Linked DNA regions of Pelodiscus sinensis. The protein of the gene in region 1 interacts with the protein of each later gene in a pairwise test. Links are inferred from orthologs where the notes say so. Each region holds a gene or a part of one and is shown in the gene's direction. Other genes may lie near its edges. The genes, in order: HPGDS, ABHD17A and MELTF.

The links.
Region 2: the proteins of HPGDS (region 1) and ABHD17A interact in binary tests that used the Homo sapiens proteins (3 or more experiments, as listed by UniProt). The two-hybrid records come from large-scale screens. The link is inferred for Pelodiscus sinensis from reciprocal best matches to the Homo sapiens genes HPGDS and ABHD17A.
Region 3: the proteins of HPGDS (region 1) and MELTF interact in binary tests that used the Homo sapiens proteins (3 or more experiments, as listed by UniProt). The two-hybrid records come from large-scale screens. The link is inferred for Pelodiscus sinensis from reciprocal best matches to the Homo sapiens genes HPGDS and MELTF.

Annotation. Positions count from the first base shown.
Region 1 is NC_134715.1:19,156,045-19,164,373, reverse strand, and holds the start of HPGDS (hematopoietic prostaglandin D synthase), read left to right. Parts: upstream 1-5,070; 5' UTR 5,071-5,188; intron 5,189-8,329. UniProt on the Homo sapiens protein: Bifunctional enzyme which catalyzes both the conversion of PGH2 to PGD2, a prostaglandin involved in smooth muscle contraction/relaxation and a potent inhibitor of platelet aggregation, and the conjugation of glutathione with a wide range of aryl halides and organic isothiocyanates.
Region 2 is NC_134729.1:28,056,185-28,063,918, forward strand, and holds the start of ABHD17A (alpha/beta hydrolase domain-containing protein 17A), read left to right. Parts: upstream 1-4,601; 5' UTR 4,602-4,891; intron 4,892-7,225; exon of another isoform or gene 7,226-7,356; intron 7,357-7,451; exon of another isoform or gene 7,452-7,473; intron 7,474-7,734. UniProt on the Homo sapiens protein: Hydrolyzes fatty acids from S-acylated cysteine residues in proteins. Has depalmitoylating activity towards NRAS. Has depalmitoylating activity towards DLG4/PSD95. May have depalmitoylating activity towards MAP6.
Region 3 is NC_134720.1:55,816,685-55,824,158, forward strand, and holds the start of MELTF (melanotransferrin), read left to right. Parts: upstream 1-4,444; 5' UTR 4,445-4,711; coding exon 4,712-4,757; intron 4,758-7,474. UniProt on the Homo sapiens protein: Involved in iron cellular uptake. Seems to be internalized and then recycled back to the cell membrane. Binds a single atom of iron per subunit. Could also bind zinc.

The DNA of each region.
Region 1 (8,329 bases):
TTTTAAACTTAGTGGTATAAATCATTCCAGTTTCAGGAATCTAGTATAGTTGCTTTATTGTCCTCAAATAAATTAAGCAGCTATCACTTGGACTGGACCTGATCAGAATCTATCAGGGAAAGGGATTTTTTTTCTTCAGAATGATGAATCTACTTCATGATCCTGAAGAAAACCCTTAGTATCCTGTGCAATGTTTATTCGTCCAAATAATCCCAATGAAGTTAATGGGAGTATTACTGTACTTGTAAGACTGCATCATGAAGCTCTCCATTAATCCACTGGTATTTCAAAATGGTGTATGTGGAGGAGAATGTTCTACTTTTGCAGGTCTCCTGTGCAAGGTATTGATAGGTTCTTGAAGCATGAACATGATTATATACACTAAAACGGATGCAGAGAACCTCCGACATGCCAACCGCACATGGCTGGTCAGGGTTAGGTGCTGGCGGGCCACCAGTTTGTTAATCAGAGAAGCAGCAGGCACAGAGCCCCACGTGGCTGTGGTTCACTGTTGTCAGCCAATGGGAGCTCTGGGAAGTGGCACCCAAATCTATCCCAAAAATAGATGGCTCACTCAACTTCCTGCAGCTCCCACAGTCTGGGAGAACCAAGGAGATAGAGTATCCCTAGTAACCTCTGGCCCTGTGGTTTCGATGCTCACCCAGGATGTGGGAAATCCAGCTGTCTACTTTGTATAAATAATTGCATGTGGCTGGTGCCCTGGAGTTCTCCCCACCCTGCCCTCTGGACTAAAACATAGGTGAAGTCAATATAGACTGGATGAACAAAATGATCATTCTATATCTGATTTATCAAGTTCTCATCCTCAAAATAAAATGTATACGATGCTTTCAAAAGATGAGCAAGGAAGCTTAAATTCACTACTCTACTCGACACTAAAAGAATGGACTGAATAGAGACTCGGGACATACGATTTATTACAATAATCTGTAACCCGCAATTCCCTGATTTTTGTCCTAACTTTGCAGAGGTTTTAATGGGCAACTTTAACTTAAATGGTCCCTTACACAATGCTGCGACACTGGGAGTACCTGGTCTGATAAAGAAGAGCTATGTGGGATTCAAACGTTTGCATCTCTCACCAACAGCAGCTGTCCAATTAAAGATACTGCCTCACAAAAGAAGTTGGAGACAAGTCTTTAGGAGATAAAATTAAACGTTGTTTTGTGTGTTTTAACAAACCTAAAGGAAATGAAAGGCCAGATTCACAAAACTGAGGTGGCAGTGGTCCCCTTCCAGCATTTGGCCACATGATTTGGGCACTCATCTGGGACATGAAAGACCCATGTTAAAATCCCTGCTTTGGAATAGGGACATTAACCCCTTCCTTTTCTCTCCAGTTGTATGACACAGCCTGACTCCCAGACAATAGGATATTCTGGAGAAAAGCTCTCTCAATCTTTCCTGTTGAATTTGTTCCACTTGGTATAAATAAATATGCCCAGATGTAAATGAATGGGACTGGAAACAATGAGTTCCTGGCTACTCTGCAATACGTGAACTAACCACCAGGCTAGAGTGTCCTTTCTCTGGTCCAATAAATATTGATTATTTAATTATTTATACAAAGTAGACAGCTTGAATGGGAGAGATCTGGTCCAGAATAGGCTTAGGATCCAGGCTGAGGGTCCAGAATGGGCTAAGGGTCCAGAATAAGCCAACTGTTTAGGTTGAGGGACAGCACACTCAGCGGAAGGGTGCAAAGAGGGGTTCAAAGTCCCTGCTCCAGAGCTGGATTTCCCACATCCTGGGTGAGCATCCAAACCACAGGGCCAGAGGTTACCAGAGATACTCTAGCTCCTTGGTTCTCTGAATGGCACCCAAATCTATCCCCAAAATTTCCAAATATTTTATTTTGGACAGTTCTGCAGGAACTGTTTGGACATTTCCAATTTTACTTTTTTTCTGTTGATCATCACAAGTTGCTTAAAAAATACAAAAATAATACAAATTAACAAAATACCATTATTTGACCCTAATCTGTATTTTTTGTATAAAAAAACCAAAGTTTTGGCTGAAAACTGTCACCCAGCCTGAAGTTAGATCACTGTGACTGTGTCTAGACTGGCCAGTTTTTCCGGAAAATCAGCCGCTTTTCCGGAAACCTTGCCAGCTGTCTACACTGGCCGCTTGAATTTCCGCAAAAGCACTGACGTCCTACTGTTAGAAATCAGTGCTTTTTGCAGAAATACTATGCTGCTCCCGTTTGGGCAAAACTTCCTTTTGCGCAAAACTTCCTTTTGCGCAAAAGGGCCAGTGTAGACAGCTGAGATTTGTTTTGCGCAAAAAAGCCCCGATCGCAAAAATGGCGATCGGGGCTTTTTTGCACAAAATCGCGTCTAGATTGGCCACGGATGATTTTCCGCAAAAAGTGCTTTTGCGGAAAAGCGTCTGTGCCAATCTAGACGCTCTTTTCCGAAAATGCTTTTAACAGAAAACTTTTCCTTAAAAGCATTTCCCGAAAATCATGCCAGTCTAGACGTAGCCTGTATGTTTGGTTACTCAGCTACAGAAAGTTGTCAAGTCAAGCATTCAGAAATTAAGAAATGCCAAAATTAAGGTTTATTATGCAACTGGCAAAAACTTTGTGTAGAGAAGCCCTTCACAGTGAAGCCTGACTGTATCAAGCTCCTCTTTCCTGTAAGAGGTTGTAATAGTGACAGTGAGGAGGGAAGAGAGGTAGTGCAGACATTAGAATAATTTCTATAGCGTTCATCACCAACGTGGCAGATGATCAGTGCTGCTTGCCATAAGAATTAGCACATCCTTCATGAAGGTGCCCTGGTTAGTCTTGTCCTCTGTCCCCGTGAAGAAAGCTGATCAACATTTACATATATTAATTAGGCCTCAACCTCTGGCTGTCGTAGGTTTTATGCCTTTTCTTACCGCAGATATCACCTGGTGGCTCTGTTGTATTATGTTCCAAATGAGCTCTGCTAATAGAAATCAGAGACAAGAGGTTCTAATTCAATTAATGGTATCTTGAAAGTGCTATAAAATAGTCACATTTCTTTAGTAAAAATCAAACTGGTTTGCAAAAATGTAGAAGATAGGGGAATCAGTTCACCTGGCTGGTGGTATGTGAAAAGACTGGTCACAAAAAGAGGGGTTATAATTTCAAGGCCAACAAGGACAGAGCCGCACAAGTACACAAAGATCATTCCTCATCCAGTTTGAGAAAATAGGCTGACACCAAATTGAAGAAGTAAAAATAGGCTGACACCAAACTGGTGGCGCAGGGGGTAGCCGTGAGATTTTGCTTAGATTTGGGCAGATAACAATAATGGAAACCTGGGCTCTGAATGTGTGATAGAAACTGTGGTGTGCACAGGAACTGTAAATAATGGCTCAAAAGCAACAATTTTTAGACCCAATATAACTACAATGGTCAGGGTTGGAGGACTTTGAACTGAACAATTCACCTCAGATTGGATTACTATACTGCTTACATAATGGAGATACACCTAAGGCAGCTTGGTGGAGAATGTGGCTTATTTTTGTTAAGATGATCAGGAACAGGTTTAAGATAAAATAATGAGAACTGGAATAAGTGGGGTTGCATCCTTTTACCTAAACCGCAGCAAGCTACTGTGCTGACAAGGCCTTATCTGCCCTCTGGAGGCAAAATAGAGCTAGAGGAATGTCCTTCCAAACATGCTGCTGAAATTTTGGCCAACATCAGCAGTCCCTTTCAACTTGAGAAACACAAATATACAGTAAACAATACCAGACTGTCCCTTCCTTTTAATCTTCTGTTGAACAAGCTATTTAAAGATTAAGTTGCCAGAAAAATGAACAAGAACTTTCAGCACATACTGTTCATGGTAACAGGAGGAGGAGCAATGCTGATAGCAGCTCGGTGCAATTCCTGGTGAATACTAAACTATGCTGTAGGGGACCAGTGGAGAAGATTCTATTTCTTGCTCTATCATCATCACAATAAATAGTAATAAATAATAATTAGCATTTAAAATTATTTGACATTCTTGTAATCCAAGGATCAGAAAGCAATTTTTATAAACAAAGCAGCACCCTCCTTCGCCTCCCTCCCCGGTAAGGTATTGTTAGTACACCCAAGTTACAAAGTAAGACACAGTGAGCCTGAAATGGCTTCTCTAAGGCACAAGCCTATGGCAAGTGAAAGGGATCAGATTCTCAGCCAGTATAAATTATTGTGACTCCACTGACTCAAATGATTAATGCTAGTTAATGTCAGCTGAGGAGCTAGCCTTGAGAGACAGCTGCATTTACCCCCTCCCTTCCGTCCCTAATGATCTAAACTCTGGGACATTTTAACAGAAGACGACCAATTCTTTGTACATATAGTTTGATCTACCTGAATTGCAACAGAATGCAAGTTAAACTTAAGTGGGTGGAAGTCTCCTAATGGTCACTAGTAAATAAACTATCATAGGTGAAAAATGTTAGGTTAAAATTAAGTCTGAGCTAGTGTTTATATGTCTAAATCAGCCTGGCCATCCACTTCCAATAAGTAAAAACATCTGTTTTATGCTTCTGTGCATGCATAAAATTCAGAAGCAATTAGTCAGATTGAACTGGTGCAGATTTATGAACGTTTTCTTAGACTTTTATTGCACTGGTATAAGAGAAATGTACCAAAAGCACTTCATGGTGGCTTATAAAACTTTTGAATTGTATTTATTAATTTTTATTTCTTTTCAGTGCCCACCCCTGCTTCTAATATGGCTGCAGTAATATAACGAATCATTGCATAATTAGAGAAGATACTGGAGGGATTTGCCTAATTTGCAGATAATGTGAGACAGAATATTCATGGCTTCTAAACTTTTTACAGCAATAAGATATGGTTTTATTGCGATCTTTGTTGCACTCTGACCTAGTTTTTTATATTTCCTACAGTTAAACTTTAAATGAAAAGGCTGACAGCTCTCAACCATGAATTCTGTTGGACTATTATGTATGTGATATCTTTAGCTGAGGAAATGATCTGTGTCTGCTACTCTTTAAATGTGTTCCATATGTGAGCATGTGTAAAGAAGCTCATGATTGCACAGTTGGAAGTACTGGGAGTGGTCTGAATATTCATACAGTGATATATAACCCCCGCTCAAACCAGATTAGCATTCAGAGAAATTCCTGTTCGTGGAAGGAAGGATTACACTGACTAGACATTACTGCAATCGAAGTGAGTGATATCTAAGAATTGAATATGACAGAAATACTGACTTCTCTCTCTTCTTTTCAGTTTTCCTTTTCCAGTCTTATTCTTCCCCCTTTAAATACATTACTGCTAGGAGCTATATTTTCCTGCCATACAGCAGGTATTTAACATGTATCATTTTTGCAGTTTTGGGAATTTGATCCAACACAGAACTGAGGGATTAATCGTGCTAGCTAGAGTCGGGTATACTAATTAGTTATGTGCAATGGTTCCTATATATCTATTAGCTTGTAAGTGTATCTCAAACATAACTGCAGTATACCAGCTCTTCTGCCTTTAGGCTTCTTTTAACTGCATATTGCACTGAACTGCCTGGACAATCTAAATTTATGAACTGTAGTTAGTGCCAAAAGGCAATGTGACAGCCTGCTCAGGGAGATAGCATCAGTTAAATGAGGAGGAACGGGGGCTATTTGTATAGATCCATTTTGATAGTCTCGATGCTTTTTGTCTAATAAGAGTTAGAGAGATACTGTAGAAGAGACAGACACATTTAAACAGAAAAATAACACATCAGCCTGAGAGAGCAACTCCCATTCTGAAATAAGTTGTTTCTGAGCCTTTTATGAAATCAAAATAATATTCTTTTATAAATAAAAGCTGACCTTCATCTGTATAAACAGAGTGCTGGAATAATTTGTACAATAGCGTTGCTGAAATCCATTGAACATATTTGTAAACCCTGTACATGATGGAAATCAGTTCAAGACAGAGGTGCTGCCACACCACTGGTTCCAGCACCTCTTCATGTAACCAGCCCAAAATCAGGTTAATGTCAAAGGAATTAGCTGACTATTAAACAACACTAAGCAGTACCTTTGGGCTTCATACTGATTGTTTTCTACGCCGTCCCCTCTCGTCGTTCATCCAACCACACAGACTTGTATCCAATGCAGAATTATTATGGAGAAAGACAAATAGAAAATATAATTTATGTTAGCCGTGTTTCTTTTCTTTGCAATTCAGCCATTGTTATTTCAGAATGTAAATAGATTTTTTTTAATGTTCTACGTCATTTGTAAATATTTGCCCTGACTTTTATCTGACACCTACCTCGATTCAACAAATACACCTGTGCACAAAATCCACATGAGCAAATGTCCTCCACTAATAGCCACTTTCATTTTATAGCAATAACTTTATTGTGCAATTTAACACAAAAAACATTGCATATCCTTAGCCAGAAATATCCTGCCATTGCTTTCTGTGCACTCCAGTTTTACATTTCTGAAAACTCTGCAGTGTCAGCAGCCATTTTGTACTGATTTACTTGCTGAAACTTTTGCAAATGAGGTACTTACTCACTTCTCACCTGGAGATTATTCATTATTTTTCTTGTTCGTAATCTAAAATAAAATATATCTATATATTTAAAATATGCAGTTCCTCTTTGTGTACAGCAAAACATAACACTTAAATTATATTTTTATCTCAGATGTTATATGGGGAGAAAGATGTCTTTCAAACTAAACACACAGTAGATAACACCTACAAAGTGGTTCTGTACAATAAGTTTAGTTTCATATTTCCAGGAAAAAATGACTAGTTTAAGGTTCATGCTTCAGCTGAGTGAATATGTATGTGATTCATTAAAATCATTGCTCTGGGTTGGGGCTGGGATGAGGGGTTCAATATACAGGCTGCCCCCAGGGAGAGAGGACTACCCCAGCTCTAACTCCTCATAGCAGTTCCATGCCAGGTGAGAAGCACCTGTCCATGGCCACTGTAGGTCCAGCAGAGAGAATTGGGAGAGGGGTTCATATCCCCTGGCCAGGGCAGATCCAAGTTCACCTGTCCCCTGTAATCCCCAGTCAGAGGCTACGTCTAAACTGCCGGTTTTTTTCAAAAACCCCGTTTCGAAAAAAAGCAGCGGCCACCATTATGCAAATGAAGCATGTGATATTTAAATCCCGGCTTCATTTGTACTTTCGATACGTCTAATTTACATCCCTTTGCCAACAGAGTGGTGTAGTGTAAACACAGCCAGAGTGAGGAATGCAGCAAATGGTGCACTTTCCTCCTCACTCCCTGATGAAGGAAAACAGCCAGCAATGTTCCCATATGAATCAAGGGGGGGAGCTTCAGTCTGGCTGGTGGGAGGCTCAGGGCTGAGGCAGTCCCAGACTGGGTGATTCTGTCTCTTTGCTATATGGTTTTATGAGAAGCACTCCTGTTCCAGGTACATCCCATTTTCCTGGTGCAACCAAACCCTTATGTTGCTTTAAGTTATCATAAGAGGAATTTAGTGGTTTTAGCTCTTTATTGTTTAGGAGTAGTTCTTGAACATTCAGACACACAGATGCAGAGACAAATTCTCACAAATATATACTATATTATACTATATATGTAGCGCCCCCTCTCCACCTGGTTACCTTCTTTAAGGCCAATCTGCTTACAGGTTTTGGTGGACAGGTCTGGGTTCTTCTGGATCCCGCCACCCACTCAACTTTATTTTTTCCAATGGATTTATTTGGCGGTGCCTCCACCCCCCTCACTCCTTCCTGGCAGGGTCACCAGGGCAGCTTGGGCGGAATATTCTAACCGAGGGAGTCCCTCTATAGGGGGGAGAGATAGCTCAGTGATTTGAGCATTGGCCTGCTAAACCCAGGGTTGTGAATTCAATCCTTACATGGGGCAAAAATTTGTCAGGGATGGTACTTGGTCCTTCTGTGAAGGCAGGGGACTGCACTCAATGACCTTTCAAGGTCCCTTCCAGTTCTAGGAGATAGGCAATCTCCATTAATTTATTTTATTTGCCAGATAGTTGGAGACTCCCAGAAAATAACACAAACACATACACTATAATAAACACAATTATATTAAACAGGAGACAAAAATAACAGAACAGGGTAGAACACTATTTTTAGGGTCACCGGTGCCCAGCAACTGTAAGGTCAGTGTCCTGTTGGTACACGTACTTTGTTGGGGCCCTTGATGACTTATGACCACAAAATTCGTCTCTGCAGTGGTTTAGCAGTGGGGCTGACTGGGTCCAGTACAGCCCAAAGGACTCCCAAGTGGGAGAAGGTGGTAAATCCCTCCACAGGTTTAATATGCAGCAGGTAATAAAATCACCAAACAAATTCCCTGACTGACTAACTAAAA
Region 2 (7,734 bases), on another chromosome or scaffold:
TGAACCGCGCTGGGAGGCGCCGCTGTGGGCTTGGTGCTGGGCTGCTCGGATCTGGCTGAGTTCCAGGCTGTCCAAACGCTCTCAGGAGAGCTTGCTGCTAAAACAGCTGGTGGGCCATCCGCTCTGCGCGGGGCTTCTGGCCGTGGGGCATGTGGAAGCAGGAAAGCCCCGGGAGGGGGACGCAGGCCAGAACGTGAAATTCTCTTGCCCAGGTTGAACGGGCTCAGACTCGATCCAAACGATGCCTCCTTGACACGGCTGGCCCTCAAACCGCTTTTTGGCCTATGGGAGGGAGCTGGAATTCGAGGAGTTCAGGGCTCACCTGTTCAATCTCCTCTCCACTCCCTGGGCTCGTTTTCCGAATCCCTGCCAGCATCACAGACCCCCTCTGCAGCCTCGTTCTCCCCGGGCAGAAGCTGGTCTGATGCCTCAGCTACCTCTGGTGGGAAGGGAGGAGGCTGGAGGTGGGGGCTGAGATGCATGGGAGAGCCACATCCTGTGTGTTAATCCTCCACCGCTGTGTGGTTTGTTTCAGCTGACGCTCTACAGAGAGGGCTCCCTCCTTATCCCTCTAGCTTTAAAGCTGGGGAAGCTGATGCCCAGGGAGGAGATGGGGTAGCCCCCCCCCTCACAGCAAGAGACAGGTTCCCTGCTCTAACCACTCTCTCCCTCTCCCTCTCAGTGCTGGGACTAGAACTCAGGAGTCCTGTCTGCCTAGTATGCTGCTCTGCTCTCTCCGTCCCCTCCCTTCCCCCTTGTTTATTTTTACTGCCCACAGAACTCTCTAATCCCCGTCAGGCTTAATTCTCCTTCTGCCCTGGCCTCTGGGGAAGCTCATTCCAAGAGGGAAGGACGCACAGGTGGGGTGGGGGCGGAGATGGTGAACCCTGCAAGAGGCTTACCCAGCACAGGTGTCCATGGCTGCGCTGCGGGCGCAAGGTTAGAAGGGGGCTGGTTGATGAAATGAACGTAGCCGGAGATGGGGCAGGAGTCAGCGACCGTAAGGCCAGAAGAGAAGCCTAATGCAGTGTGTCTCAACCTCTTCTTAGAAAGTACCCTTTTTTAAAAAAATATAAGTACCCCCGGAACCTACAGTTTTCAGACACACACAAGGTTTTTCTACCGTTGCATCACATTTGTTTAAACAACTTCATCATAGCTGGGCGGGCGATGACATTTTTGGGTGTAAAAAGAACAAAAATAATAAAACGCTGTAAAACGCAAAACAAATTCAGTTTTCTCCAAATTTCAGTTGTGTTGATGTTCCCCAGCACAGCCCAGTGGGTACAGCATTGGCCTGGGACCGAGGAGACTGCCCCGCTGTGCGCCAGTTTCCCCGGCTTTGAGAATGGCTGACCCACTAGGCTTTACTGCCCTCGTCCTTAGCCCAGGAAGTGCCTGGAGCCAGGCAGGGCTCAGCAGGCAAAGTCCTGAACTGGCTTTGCGGCAGATCCAGCCGGTCCTCTCCCAGTGGGATCAGAGCTGGGGGCTGCAGGAGAGTCACCGTTGCCTTGTGCTCCAGCCGGAAGGGACCTCCTGCCATCTGCGGTGCTGGGAGCTTGGCAGGAGGATTAGGACTGAGGCATCTGAGACAGGCTGGGTGGGCCAGGAGCCGGCAGCTCCCGTGGGCATCGCTTCGGGCCTCTTTGAAAAGAGGAGCCGCAGCAGGTAAACTCCAGGGCTGCGTCTAGACTGGCAAGTTTTTCCGCAAAAGCGACTGCTTTTACGCAAAAACTTGCCAGCTGTCTACACTGGCCGCTTGATTTTGCGCAAAAGCACTGACGTTCTACTGTCCGAAATCAGCGCTTCTTGCGCAAATGCTTTGACGTTCCCGTTCCGGCAAAAGCCCTTTTCCAGAAATGTATTTGCGCAAGAGGGCCAGTGTAGACAGCTAAAATGGCGATCGGGGCTTTCTTGTGGAAATCCGCATCTAGATTGGTACGGACGCTTTTCTGCAAAAAGTGCTTTTGCGGAAAAGCATCCGTGCCAATCTAGACACTCTTTTCCGCAAATGCTTTTAACGGAAAAACTTTTCCATTAAAAGCATTTGTGGAAAATCATGCCAGTCTAGACGTAGCCCAGGGGTGTATTTAAACTGATTGACACTGGGGCAAAAGGCAGTACGGGTGGGAGGGTATTGGGAGAGCTGTTATTTGTGTGAGGGTAGCGCCTACAGGCGGCTATACACCCAGGTAGTGAGGGACAGTACCTGTCCTCAAGTCACACCCTAAGTAGAACGTACTGGGGAGGCAGAGAATCTACTGGTCCAAAGTCACCCAGCAGCATCAGGAAGAGAACCCAGACACCTCCCTACATTCTAGCCCTGGCTGACATGCACCTGCCCGCCTCAGTTTCCCATTCTGTAAAGCGCCGTGAGCTCCACAGATAAAAAGCTTCAGAAAGTTGCTGTGTGTCATTTTATCCCTGGTTCACCAGGGATGCTGGCTGGATAGTGCCAGCCATGGCCCGGGGGATGCAGCTGGTGGGCTTGTAATGGGGGTCCCCTGCCTCGCACACCGGATGGTGCCCATCATGCTGGAGCCTTTTCTGCTCCCTGCCGGAGCTGAGTGGCCTCTTCTTGAGGAGTTTTTAAAGCAATTGAAGCAGACTCCAGCTTCTGTCGCCCACATTCCTGCACAATCTTGTTCCCAGCCTGCAAATAAGGCAATGGGGAGTAGGGATGGAAGAGTAAACTTGATTAACCGATGAGCAAAAGCTGATCAGTTAATAGGGTTGCCAGGCGCCCGGTTTTCACCCAGACAGTCCGGTAATTGCGTCTTCAATCCGGTAAAAAAATACAGAAAACACTGGATACGTCCGGTGCAATGTCCGGTGTTTTCTGTTTTTCTCAGGCAGAAGGCTGGCAGGGACATTTTTGCCCTGCTGCGTCTGGCAGGGGGAGCAGGGAGTGAGCTCCCCCTCCCCCCCACTCAACAAGTTTGGTCTCTTTTTTTTTGCTCAACCAATTTTTTTCCCTGCCATGTTTGGAATTTTTTTGTGAAAGCATCTGGCAACTCTATTGGTTAATGCCATAGACTACACCCATCTGCCCCCCCCTCCCCTTTGCCAGTACATGTTTTAGCAGGCTGGCCAGCAGCCCGGCTCAGTTCTGGCTTGCACCAGGTCCGGGACCTACCCCTGCTGCGGCTCTGCATTTAAAGTGTAGTAGGAGCCAGTGAGCAGCCCTGCTCAGTTCCAGCTTGTGCCAGGTCTGGGAGCTGAGACCTCTTTCCCCCTCCTTCCCCTGGACAGGGGCTGCTGCCACCTTGCACTGCTGCCTCTGTATCACTTTTTAAATCAGTTCCCCTTGCAGACCAGCTCCTGCCTGGCACGTCGCGCTGCTGCCTCTGATTCAGAGGCAGCAGCATGGAGCAGCAGGGGGCTCCTCAGGCGTGAGCCTGGAGCACACTGGCTGCTGGCCCCGCCCCTGGGGCCTATAGAATAGTCACATAACCAATAAGAATTCAAGAGGTTAATCGACTATTCGATTAACCGATATTTAACATCCCTAATGGGGAAAAGGTCAGTACAGTAGCCCACCACCCCATTTTGCACAGCTTCCAGTCACAGGCGGGGGGAGGGATCCTAGGATAAAGCATGCACACAGCTTGCAGGCAACAGGGGGGTTGGGTGCTGCAAATGAAGCAAGCTTGGGCTTGCAAACGGAGGCAGGGGTAAATAGTTCCGCCAATTAAGCACGGAAATAGCAGCCATGCAAACACTGCTGAGGGGTGGGGGAGGGAGGAATTGCTGCAGCCTATTAGTTATGCATCCAACATACACAAACTGCACGAAGCGTGCACCTCTGGTTGCATACATTGCAGAGAGGGATCACTGCAGCTGGTGCAAGATGCAGTCCCTGCGGGGGAGGAGGGTTGCAGCACATGCATCATGCAGTTCCTGTGGGTGGGGGTGTTGCAGACCAGCGAACATGCAATCTCTGCAGGGGGAGGTGTGGTTGTAGCCAATGGAGCATGAAGTCCCTGTGGGGGGAGTTGCTGCAGCATGTGGAGCATGCAGTCCCTGCGCGGAGGCTGGGTCGTTGCGGCCTGAGCAGCATGCAGTCCCTGCGGGGGGGGGGGGGGGGGGGGGGGTTGTTGCAGCACATGCAGTCCCTGCGGGGGGGGGGGGGGAGGTTGTTGCAGCACATGCAGTCCCCGTGGGTGGGGGTGTTGCAGACCAGCGAACATGCAATCTCTACAGGGGGGGGTGTGGTTGCAGCGCATGGAGCATGCAGTCCCTGTGGAGAGTCCATTGCAGCGCGTAGAGCATGCAATTCCTGGGGGGGGTCGCTGCAGCATGGGGAGCATTCAGTGCCTGTGGGGGGGGGGGTCATTGCAGCGCATGGAGCATGCAGTCCCTGTGGAGAGTCCATTGCAGCGCGTAGAGCATGCAATTCCCGGGGGGGGGGGGTCGCTGCAGCATGGGGAGCATTCAGTGCCTGTGGGGGGGGGCATTGCAGCGCATGCAGTCCCTGCGGGGGGGGGGGGTCGTTCCAGGGCGCGCGGTCCCCGCCCGGGCTCTCTCCTCCCCGCCACGTCTTTGCGCCAGGTTCCTGCTCCTCCTTCCCGGGGGCTTTGCGGGCAGCAGGACTCCGGAGGAGGCGTCACTTCCAGTGCGGGCGGCGCTGCTGTCACATCCGCCACTGGCCGCTCGCAGCGCGGGGCGGAGACTCGGGCTGCCCCGGCCCAGGAGCCTGGAGCGTCCGGGAGCAGCAGCGCCGCGCGCCGGGCCCGGCCGGGAGGAGTCCCGGGGGGGATGCGGGAGGCAGCGCCCGGCTCCAGCTGCTCAGCGCGCCAGCGGGCCCGGCACCGGCTCGGCTCGGAGCGGGGCCCGGCACCAGCCCTGACCTGCCGCCCGCTCGGGAGATTGCAACCGACACGAGACCCAGGTACCCGCCCCTGCAGCCCCCCCCAGCCCCCGGCCCGGCCCCTTGCAGCCCCCCCCAGCTCCCGGCCCGGCCCCTTGCAGCCCCCCCCCCCAGCTCCCGGCCCGGCCCCTTGCAGCCCCCCCCCCCCAGCTCCCGGCCCGGCCCCTTGCAGCCCCCCCCCAGCTCCCGGCCCGGCCCCTTGCAGCCCCCCCCCCCCAGCTCCCGGCCCGGCCCCTTGCAGCCCCCCCCCAGCTCCCGGCCCGGCCCCTTGCAGCCCCCCCCCCAGCTCCCGGCCCGGCCCCTTGCAGCCCCCCCCCCAGCCCCCGGCCCGGCCCCTTGCAGCCCCCCCCCCAGCTCCCGGCCCGGCCCCTTGCAGCCCCCCCCCCCAGCCCCCGGCCCGGCCCCTTGCAGCCCCCCCCCCAGCTCCCGGCCCGGCCCCTTGCAGCCCCCCCCCCAGCTCCCGGCCCGGCCCCTTGCAGCCCCCCCCCCCCAGCTCCCGGCCCGGCCCCTTGCAGCCCCCCCCCCAGCTCCCGGCCCGGCCCCTTGCAGCCCCCCCCCCCAGCTCCCGGCCCGGCCCCTTGCAGTCCCCCCCCAGCTCCCGGCCTGTCCAGCAGCCCCTCCCCGGGAGCCCCCGGCCCTGCAGTCCCCCCCTGCAGCCCCCCCAGCTCCCGGCCCGGCCCCTTGCAGCCCCCCCCCCACCTCCCGGCCTGCCCAGCAGTCCCTCCCCGGGAGCCCCCGGCCCTGCAGCCCTCCCCCCTGCAAACCCCGGATCGGCCCCCTGCAGCCCCTGGACCAGCCCTGTGCAACCGGTCCGGTCCGCTACAATCCCCGGGCCTGCCCAGCTCCCCCGGTCCGGCCCCCGGCAGCCCCCCTTCCACTGCCAGTCCCCCGCCCCGCCCCTCGCTGCCCCATCCCATCTGGGAGCACATTCAGCCCCCCCCCTCTTCCGCGCCTCCCCCAGCTGCAGTCACCTCGCCCCCCCCCCCGAGCATTAGCAGCTGATTTTCCCTTCTCCCCCCGCCCCCCCCCCATCCGGGGAGCTCCCGGTTCCCCCCGCCCCGACCGCTCCGAAGTTGCCCTGCTCAGCAGCCCCGACGCGCCTGCAGGATGTGTGTGTGTGTGGGGGGGGGGGGGGCGGGGTGTCTCGCTGGCTCCTGACGTGCGGGGTGCGGGCCCGTCCCCAGCACCGGAGTGTGTGCGTGTGGCGGCGGGGGGGGAGCCCATTGGCTGGCTGGATTCCCCCCGGCTGAGTCCTTCCCCCGCTTAGTGTCACCCTCCGGGTGTGTCTGGGGACGCAGATAAGTGTTTCTGTAGCACAGACACTGACATGTGTTGGGCCTGCCGTCTAGATAAGTGTGTGTGTGTGTGTGTGTCTAGCACAGCCAGGTATGGGAGTGTAACACACAGTGGCTGTATGGAGACATGTCAGGAGGAGGTGGGGGTGGAGGGTTTATCCTGCATTTCTGAGGTATGGGCAGATCTGGGGGTGAGCCTGGAGTGTGGATGCTGCCGTTCTGTCCTGCCTGTGTGCAGCAGACTTAGGCGTGTGCCTGGGATCCTGGTGGCTGGGTGCAGGACCGTGTATTCTGGCACATGTGTCTGCAAAACACAAGCACAGGTTAGTGGTTGAGCGTGGTCTCTACGCTGCCTGTGGTGTACTGGTGGGTCGGCACACGCGTCCGGTGAAGCAATGCATGCGTGGCCTGCGGACAAGTCGTGCCGCCGCACGTGCGTCTAAGGTCTCTGTTGCGGACGCGTATCTCTGCGTGGACAGGTGTGGTTCTCTAGGTTGTATCTCTCTGCTGGGGGGTGGAATCTCCTGTCTAGCAGCTGCACAGAGCAAACCTCTCCCAGCAGGGGGGAAGAATGGAAGTGAGATGCTGATATTGGGACCTGTTGTTTTGGGGAGCAGTGCGGGGGAGGGGGATAGATGATTTTCCATCTTCCTCCAGCCCCCTGGCAGCTTGTGTTGAGAGGCAGGGGGAGGTCACATCAGAGGCCCAATGCGCTGCTCTTGCATGCACAGGCCTAAATCTGGAGGAACTCCCCCGACTGCACAGCAACTGGGGATTTACACTGGGGTGAGGCTAGAATTTGCTCCTGAATGTAAAACAAGCACCACACTGGGGGAGCGGGAGAATCCATTCATGTTGGGATCCCGGGGGGGGGAATGGGCAGTTATTCGGCAGAGAAATATTTCCATATAAGCCCCCTGTTTCATGCTGAATGGCACAGGCCTCGCGCTCCCTCCACCCTTTCCTCTGCTTTCCCAGCCTTGCAGAAGGAGGGAAGCAGCTGGAGAGGAATTCCTCGGGGTCTAGGCTAGTGGAACATTCCTCCGTTGGGAGGTTCTGCCCTGACTTGCAGGAACCACATTAGTTGGCTGTGCGTTGAGTTCCGCCTCCTGGCTGGGAGCGTGTGCCGCAGAATTCCCGCCGGCGTGTTGGGCATTGGGGAATTGCGGGAGTGAATGTGGTGCCGCGACCGTGCGTATGGGCATCACACCTGCAATATGCTAGCCCTGTGTTCCAGCATCTGAGCTGAGCCTGAGTGGGTGGGGGCAGGGAATCCGGCAGTCATCAGACTGCAGGATCAGGGCCTTGGTGGGCATTGGCTGATGTGTGCTGTGTGGGGTTTGAGGTGCAGTAAGTGTGTACCAATGGGTGTGCATTGGTCAGAGTGTGGCTTCCATAGATGTATGGTACAGCTTGCATGTGGTTGTTGTCAGTCTGGGTGTATGTGTGGTTCTGGGTGCATTGTGTAGATGTGCGGTGTGTGGTTTTTTTGGTGTGGGGTATATGTTGGGTGGGTGAACTGTGTGTGGTTTTCAGTGAGTGGAGCCCAGCATGGAGATGGGTTTGTGT
Region 3 (7,474 bases), on another chromosome or scaffold:
GACTACATGGAAGAGGCTGTTAACAAAGGTAGGGTTTTTTTCTTCTAAAAACTCTCTAGCTAAAGAAAAGAAACCGGGGGGACGGGGGGGACATGTAATCTTTAGTGCTGTAATATCTTAAATTTTTATTATTAATTTTTTAAAAAACATTTAATGGTATATTTGCCTGGTACTTAGCAGGCTGAGGTTTTGGTTTACCAAACCCCAAAACTACTTAATACACATTAGTGTTGGACCATAACAGGTTATGTAAACACCTTTGGCCTATTTATTCCACCTGAAGTTAATATAATGTGGCTAATGTGATGCTAAGAACAGGAAGAGCCTTGCAAATCCGCAGATTGTGCTTTATATCCGCCAGTATCTGCTTCCACAGATGTGGATGCTCATAGCCTGTTTTTGTGGATAAGAGTTGTGACAGACCCAGACCAGCTGGCTGGCACACACTAATGGAGGAAAGGCATGCTGTGGCTTGGGTGACCAACGTTCTCTTTCTGGAGTTAACAGAGCCAAGCCTAGTGCAGCATTATCATGTAGGCACCTGGGGACAATTAGAGCCTGCTGGAAGCTACAGGCAAATTAGACCCCTGCAGCCAATTAAGCCCTATGGAGCTGCTTTAAAAGGTTCTGCCCAGGTAAGGAAGGGGGAAGGAAAAAGTGAAGGGCTGAAAGGAGGAAGTGTGTGTAGACAGACACACACACACATGTTATTTGCCTCTCTGAGGTTCCTGAAGCATACAGGACAGAGAAGGAGCAATAAAATCAGCATAGTCTATGCTGGCTCATCTGATCCTGAGAAGCTGAAAACATAGATATGAGAAAAGAGCGATTAAGGCAATAAGCTGACCTCGAGGCTGCGAGAACTGCCCTGGCTAGCACCTATGTTGATACGATCACACACAGTCGTCCCTGGGAGAGGACTCTCCCACTGAGAAAAGAATGCCCAGTACTTCCAATTTAGTTCTCTCTCTTACAAGTGTAAATTAAGTTCACAACTCCCTTGTAAGAACTGGCGCCACAAAGACAGACCAGTACAATTTGGCATCTTAGATAAGAAAGAGGATACGGGCCCCTATGGGTATAAAGATGGGTCCAGCAGCACACTTACTCTGAGTGTCAATCTACCATCTATCTGTTCATTGGGTTAGGTGTTTGACCTCCCGAGGTTCCACTGGGATGCTCACCTCGTATTCGTCTTTCCTAGGAATTGAGGGACCGGCCCTGGCTTGACCCACTGGAGTCGAGAGGTACAGAAGGGGGTAAAAATTGTACTTGGATGTGCCCTTTGTCTTAAGTGTACACATAGATTTAGAGCTCTTTAAAGATTAAGCTGTCACTTGGTACCATTATTTCTATTTTCTATATTTTCTTTGTAACCGTTTTTAAGATCTATATTTGCTAGCAGTTAAGAAATAGAGCAGTAGCCATTGTAACCATATGATTTATAGGCTTCTTTAATAAACCTGTAACTGTTTAAGCTTTAACCTGACTCCTTCAGTTGCTGTAACAGAACCAAGCACAATTTAAAAGAACTTCAGCCAGTCATAAGGGACAGGAATAGGAAGAGCTGGGGCGTTTTGGTTCGTGTCCCTCCCAGGGGACAGATCCATTGGGGCATCTCTCAGTCTTCCCTAGAGTGCCCGCTGCGAAGGGATCCTGTATCCTAGCAGCTGAAATCTGAGATGTAGTAAGCTCTCCTTGTAAACTCTGGGGCGTCTGTCAGCCTGTTGGCTGCCCTCCGCAACGGGACCCCGGTCCTAGTGGTAAAGACACAGACATTAAACCTTCTCTCTCTCTCTCTCTCTCTCTCTCTCTCTCTCTCTCTGCCCTGACCGTCGGCTGACAGAGTGGTGTGTGTAAGAGCTGAGGACTGAGGCGCAGGAACTAGAGGAAAGGTGCTGGGAGGGCTCATTTGGGGAAGCAGCCCAAGGAAAAGCTGCCAGATTGGGAGTGGCAATAACCTTGCCTGTTGCCACTGCCGTAGGGTCCCTGGACTGGAACCCAGAGCAGTGGCTGAGCCCGGCTTCCCCCCAATCTCCCTATGCAACCAAGAGTCTGCCCCTGAGAAGGGAGACCAGCACTCCAAAACAGGTTTTACCCCAAAACTATGAAGTAGCCTGTGATGAGTATACAACTCTGCAAATTTGCAGCTCTCCACTATATCCTCAGATGTGGCTATCTACAGCTCATTTTTACAGATGCAGATACAAATTTTGTGCCTTACAAGCCATTGGATGGTGCAGAGGTGGCTTTGAAGGAATGGGTGACACTGAATTACCTATGTGGGCTTCCCTACACAACAGAGCTGAAATCGCCTTCGATGGTAAAGCTGCAGACTGCACTGACTTGCTAGAATCCTTGGACTCCCACCAACCCAGTATAACAAACTATGAGGAAGAGAAGAGGAAAGTGACTAGAATGTACCAGCCCCACTCAACTTCAAGAAAAAGATGTAGGTTGTAACCTACTCCTGGGGAAGGGCAGGGAGTGTGTTTAAATTAATGACTGCCGGCCCTCTCAAGTTCAGTGTCATCCCCCTTTCATAAAGTTTAAGTCCTGTGGAATCAGTGTATGTAAGTGGGGAAGTATTGCTATCTAGGGAGCAACAGGTAGTACAGCTAGTTCCCAGGTTTCTGAGTAGCAGGTTGAGCAGATGGTATTTAAGCATTCACAAGGAACCCTCCAAACCCAGCTCCTCTTGTTGTTGACAGCACAACTCTGAAGGGTTATATCAATATTGATTAACTGGATAACATTCTATGCAATTTTATAGTGAATTAGATTCTTTCTATAATCATCTTGCAGAAAGGAGAGAGAATTCTCTTCTAATTTTCTTAATCAATTTGCTATTACATGGGACGTTTCTTCAGCACATCACGTGCCACCTACCTACAGGGTGCTTAAAGACGTCTTACTTGTGCTAAATTTTGTTTATTAGTTGTGTTTATTCTTAATCAGATGGTAGCAACACTGGATTATATTCACAAAAATATTTAGGCAGCTAGAAAATAACTTGATTCATGAGGTTTGAGTTAGGCACCAGGGCACTCTATGCAATGAAGGGGGTGAGGTATTGGCTGAGAGTGGGATTCACACAAGCCAATATGTTAAGTGGCACCCTGCCTAGCCCAGCCAATGAGAGATGCCAAGGTAAGAGTTGTCCTAAACCCTGTACTGCTTGGGCAGTTTGGCACCTAAAACTGGGCTGCTCCATTTGCTTGGGTTTCCCAGTTGTTAACCCTGCTCTTAGAATTAGGCACCTATGCTGTTTTTGCAAGAAGCCTAGGGGAGGAATAATTTTAATCCAGTGGTTAGGGTGCTCACCTGGATGTGGGAGAATCCCAGTTCAAGTTCCCTTCCACCTGAGAAGAAAGGAGTTGAATAAGGATTTGCCATGTCTCTGGAGCATATACTAACCAGTGAGCTACAGACTAGACCAGGGGTGGGCAAGATACAATTTGCTGGCCAGAGTGGGCCTGCCAAGCCACCTGCCCACGGACCACTCTGCCAGGACCCTCAGGCACACAGCTGCCGCTGTTTTAAGCTCAGAGCTGCTCCATGTGTGTGTGTCTGCTCTGGAGGAAGAGGGAGGCTTTCTGTGATCTCCCTACACTTTATTTCATGATCCTATTCCACACTCATGATTATCGTAAAACAAAAGGAAAAAATATGTAGCACTTTAACAAGATAGCTTATTAGGTTTATTAGTTTATTAGGTGATGAGCTTTCATGAACCAGACCACTTCTTCAGATCATATTCTGAAAGAGAACTGGCATGACCATATATAACAAAGGAATACAATGAAGAAAGTGAATACATTATAAACTAACAAATCAGATTTTAGAACAGAAGGTAGAGAGAGGGAAGGAGGAAATAGTTTATTTTAAGTCAATGAGTGGCTAATCTGAAGTTACTAGGATTATCAATAAGTGGAGAAGCTGTATTTGTAATATGTAAGGTAACTAGCATCTTTATTAAGGTCCATTCGTACCGTGTCCAATGTAAGCATGAATGAAAGTTCTGAAGTTTCTGTAATCTGTGTTAGTCTCTTTGAAGTAAGATGCACATTGTGAGGCCTTCAAGGGAATGCCCAGGTAGATTAAAATGTGGACTAACAAGTTTTTCTTTGTGAAGATGTCGGATGTCTGATTTGTGAGCATTGATTCTTTGGCGAAGTGCCTGAGCAGTCTGGCCAATATACATTGCAGAGGGACACTGCTGACACATGATGGCATAAATCACAAATCATGTTTGTGTGCTGGATGAACAGGAAGATGAGTCCTTGATCATATAACTGACATGGTTAGGTCCAGTGATGGTGTCACCAGAGTAGATATGTGGACAAAGTTGGCGACAGGGTTTGTTGCAAGGGAAATTGTTAACATGTTATTACCAATTTGACCCAGCAGGTGGTGCTAAAACAATGACAGGTCACAATCTCCACTGTCCCAGGTATTTTGTGCTTGGAGTTTGGCTTTCTGTTTGAAGACTGCAATTCATGTAAACGGATGCAGATTTTCCTCTCTGTTTAGAACAGACTGTGTGGTGGAGTGACTGAGAGTAACTGTTGTTTTGCAGTGCACACGTGGCCATGTGAGAATCTTGGTTTCCAACAGGGCGTGGTCTGGAAAGGGGCAGAGTGAAAAGTGTGCTCCATAAAAGTAGTGATTGCTGGAATTCTGAAGGCACTGCATACACACAGACCTCATCATGAGCTTCCAGAGCATGGCTTATTGTTTCTGCTTCTTTCACACAGGTAAGTGCCTGCTAATCTCAAGAGACAATGTTCATGCTGCTGTTTGGTACCTCTGGGACTGACCAATCTGTGAGATGATACAGCACAAGCAGAATGAAAATAATTTCATAATCACTGTGTTTCTGCAGGTGAGCGGGACGTGGTGGGAGAACAGGCAGTTGAGTTAGGGGAAACAAATCATTATTGGCTCCCTTTCATTTGTATCACATATTTGGCCACATTGATTCTGTATCTTCTGTTGGTCCCATGCTGTTTATTCTGGCTGGCTATTTCAGAGGGGATCTTGGACCAACCTGCTCTGCATGAATATTACAGCTTCACATGGCCCATTTTTTGTAGGTGATTGTGCTACTTAATAAAGTGGGCATTTGCTGTAGTGTATTTTATTGTTCCATCATGTGCCTTGGCCTCCCTCTGTACTTTGCACTGTAGTGAGTGCAGAAGCATTAAAAAGCTGCTTGTAGGACAGAGCATGAAACATGAGGAGGTGTCACACAGTGTGGGGGTGGAATGAATGTGGTGCTAAAAACTGACTGAAATAGTCCCATGTCAGAGGAGGGACCAGAGACAACGGGAAACCCAAGGACTGAACAATTCATACTTATCCATGGAAATCTCTGCCAGGTGGGATATGTGAACTCAGGAAGGGCCTGCAAGTGTTGGACAATGGACTGAAATGCCTACGTTGGCTGGAAGGAGAGTTGGCTTTTGGGAGGGCCAGCAGTTTTCAGGGGGGAATAACACTGCTCTGTTCCTGTTGAAGAAATTCTCCAATTTTAAAAAGGCTACCTAGTGTCATGGCTGCTACTTGTTGATCTGGTCCCCGAAGTGTGTAAAGACTCCTGATCAGACTCTCTCAGTTGCACTTGCTAAGCAGAGCTCATGGGTATGAAGCAGGAGAGTTGGCACCAAGAGGTTCAGTCGCAGAAATGTTGCAACCATATGATCTACCCTTAATAACACATGGGATCTCTGGGGCATCTGGCACACTTTTCTCCGAGGGACTGTTTAAAAACTGGGACATAGCATAGATTATGTGGATCTGCGATGCCCTAATATTCCCCAACCTTTTTTGTTATGCATCAGGATTTGTGTTGCTTTTCTCCCACTCCTGAGGTGATTCATTTTTATTATTCTTTTTGTCATTGTAGACCCTAAGCATCCGCGTCATGAACCAGGGCCCCGTTGTGCTAGGCGCTGTACTAACAGGTCAAAAAACTCCCTTTCCAGAGAGCTTACAATCTAAGTACAAGACAAAAGACAACAATAGATGGAACAGACAGAAGGCAGAGTACAAGGAGACAATATTGTCTAAATAGCCAAGCGAGACACTGGGAGCAAGAGGTATAGAACACACAGAGTGAACATGGAGCAGTGGTAAATGGCATGTTAGGTCCACAATTTTGTTTCCTCTTTGAAGGGTGGTGGGGTGTACTTAGGAAGAGATCAGTTAAAGGGAAGGGAGGGGACAAGTATGGAATGAATTTATAGTAAAGAGACTGGAGGGAGCGGAGAGGGGAAGGTAGGGTCGGAGCAAACAGTCAATGAACACAGGGCAGAGAGAGAGAAATAAATGTCAACAGCTCTGTCTGGAATGTCCAGGAGTCCAAAGGTTTGACTGACTGATCAGATGCCTGCTGGCTCGCTATCTCTAAAGCACTTTGAAATCTTTCAGGAAAAAGAGAAGCTCTTGTGTATGTGTAAAATGATCTTGTTTTTTTTCCTCATTGAGAGAGCTCCTGTTGAAACTCCCACAGAATATTAATGTCCCTTAACATTTTCCTGATCCTTTTGTAAAGTGCAGTACATTACCCCACTACTGCACAACACCAGTATTGTTGTGTTGCTAAAGCAGTTGATAGGTTGTTTGACAGTCTGATGCTGAGACTATGCTATCATAGGGCCTAGGAATGTATTTCAAATCGTGGTTACCAGCCCCCACCATCTCAAATTTAGTGTACCTCTGTGGAGCACCAGGAAACTGAGTAAACAGTTCAGAGACTAGCTTGCTGTTTTAACACATGCTTGGCCAACTGTAGCAGAGGACTCAAACCACAAGTCCTCTCTATGTTCCTAGCTCCACCTCAAATGGGTTAACTCCCTCTGGCAGACTAAAAGGCATCCTCTATGACAAGAAGGCACCTGGCCAGATGCTGAGAGAAAAGATGCATTTTAGCAAGAGAGAAATTTCCACTAAGCACCCGTAAGCTGAGTGAGGAAGAAAGAGGTGGCTTCATGCTATTTCATTACATACGCTAAAAAAATGTGGAGCTAGGCAGAGGCCGTTTATTTTTCATCTCACAAATTAATGAGAGTAAAAAGTGATCGTATACCTTGCACAATGAAGTCTTATCTTCACAGACCACTGTATCGGAAACAGGAACACGGCTATTGGAGAATAGCACTTAGCCATATGTTCTAAGGCACTGAGCAATAGTTGGAAATACAATAATTTTGCATTTAATAGAAAAAGTGGAGTCTTTGACTGTGGGATGCTAGAAGCTTCCACAATGAAGGAAAATGACTATCATGAACTTGTACATGGATTAATGAAGAAGACAATGTGCATCCTTGTTCTCCCAAGGTCACCTGAGCTTCCGTGAACTGCTTGATCTCCCGAAACAAGCTATAGTGCCCTGACACAGGACTCTTCGGCTGTGTCTAGACTGGCAAGTTTTTCCGCAAAAGCACCTGCTTTTGTGGAAAAACCTGCCAGC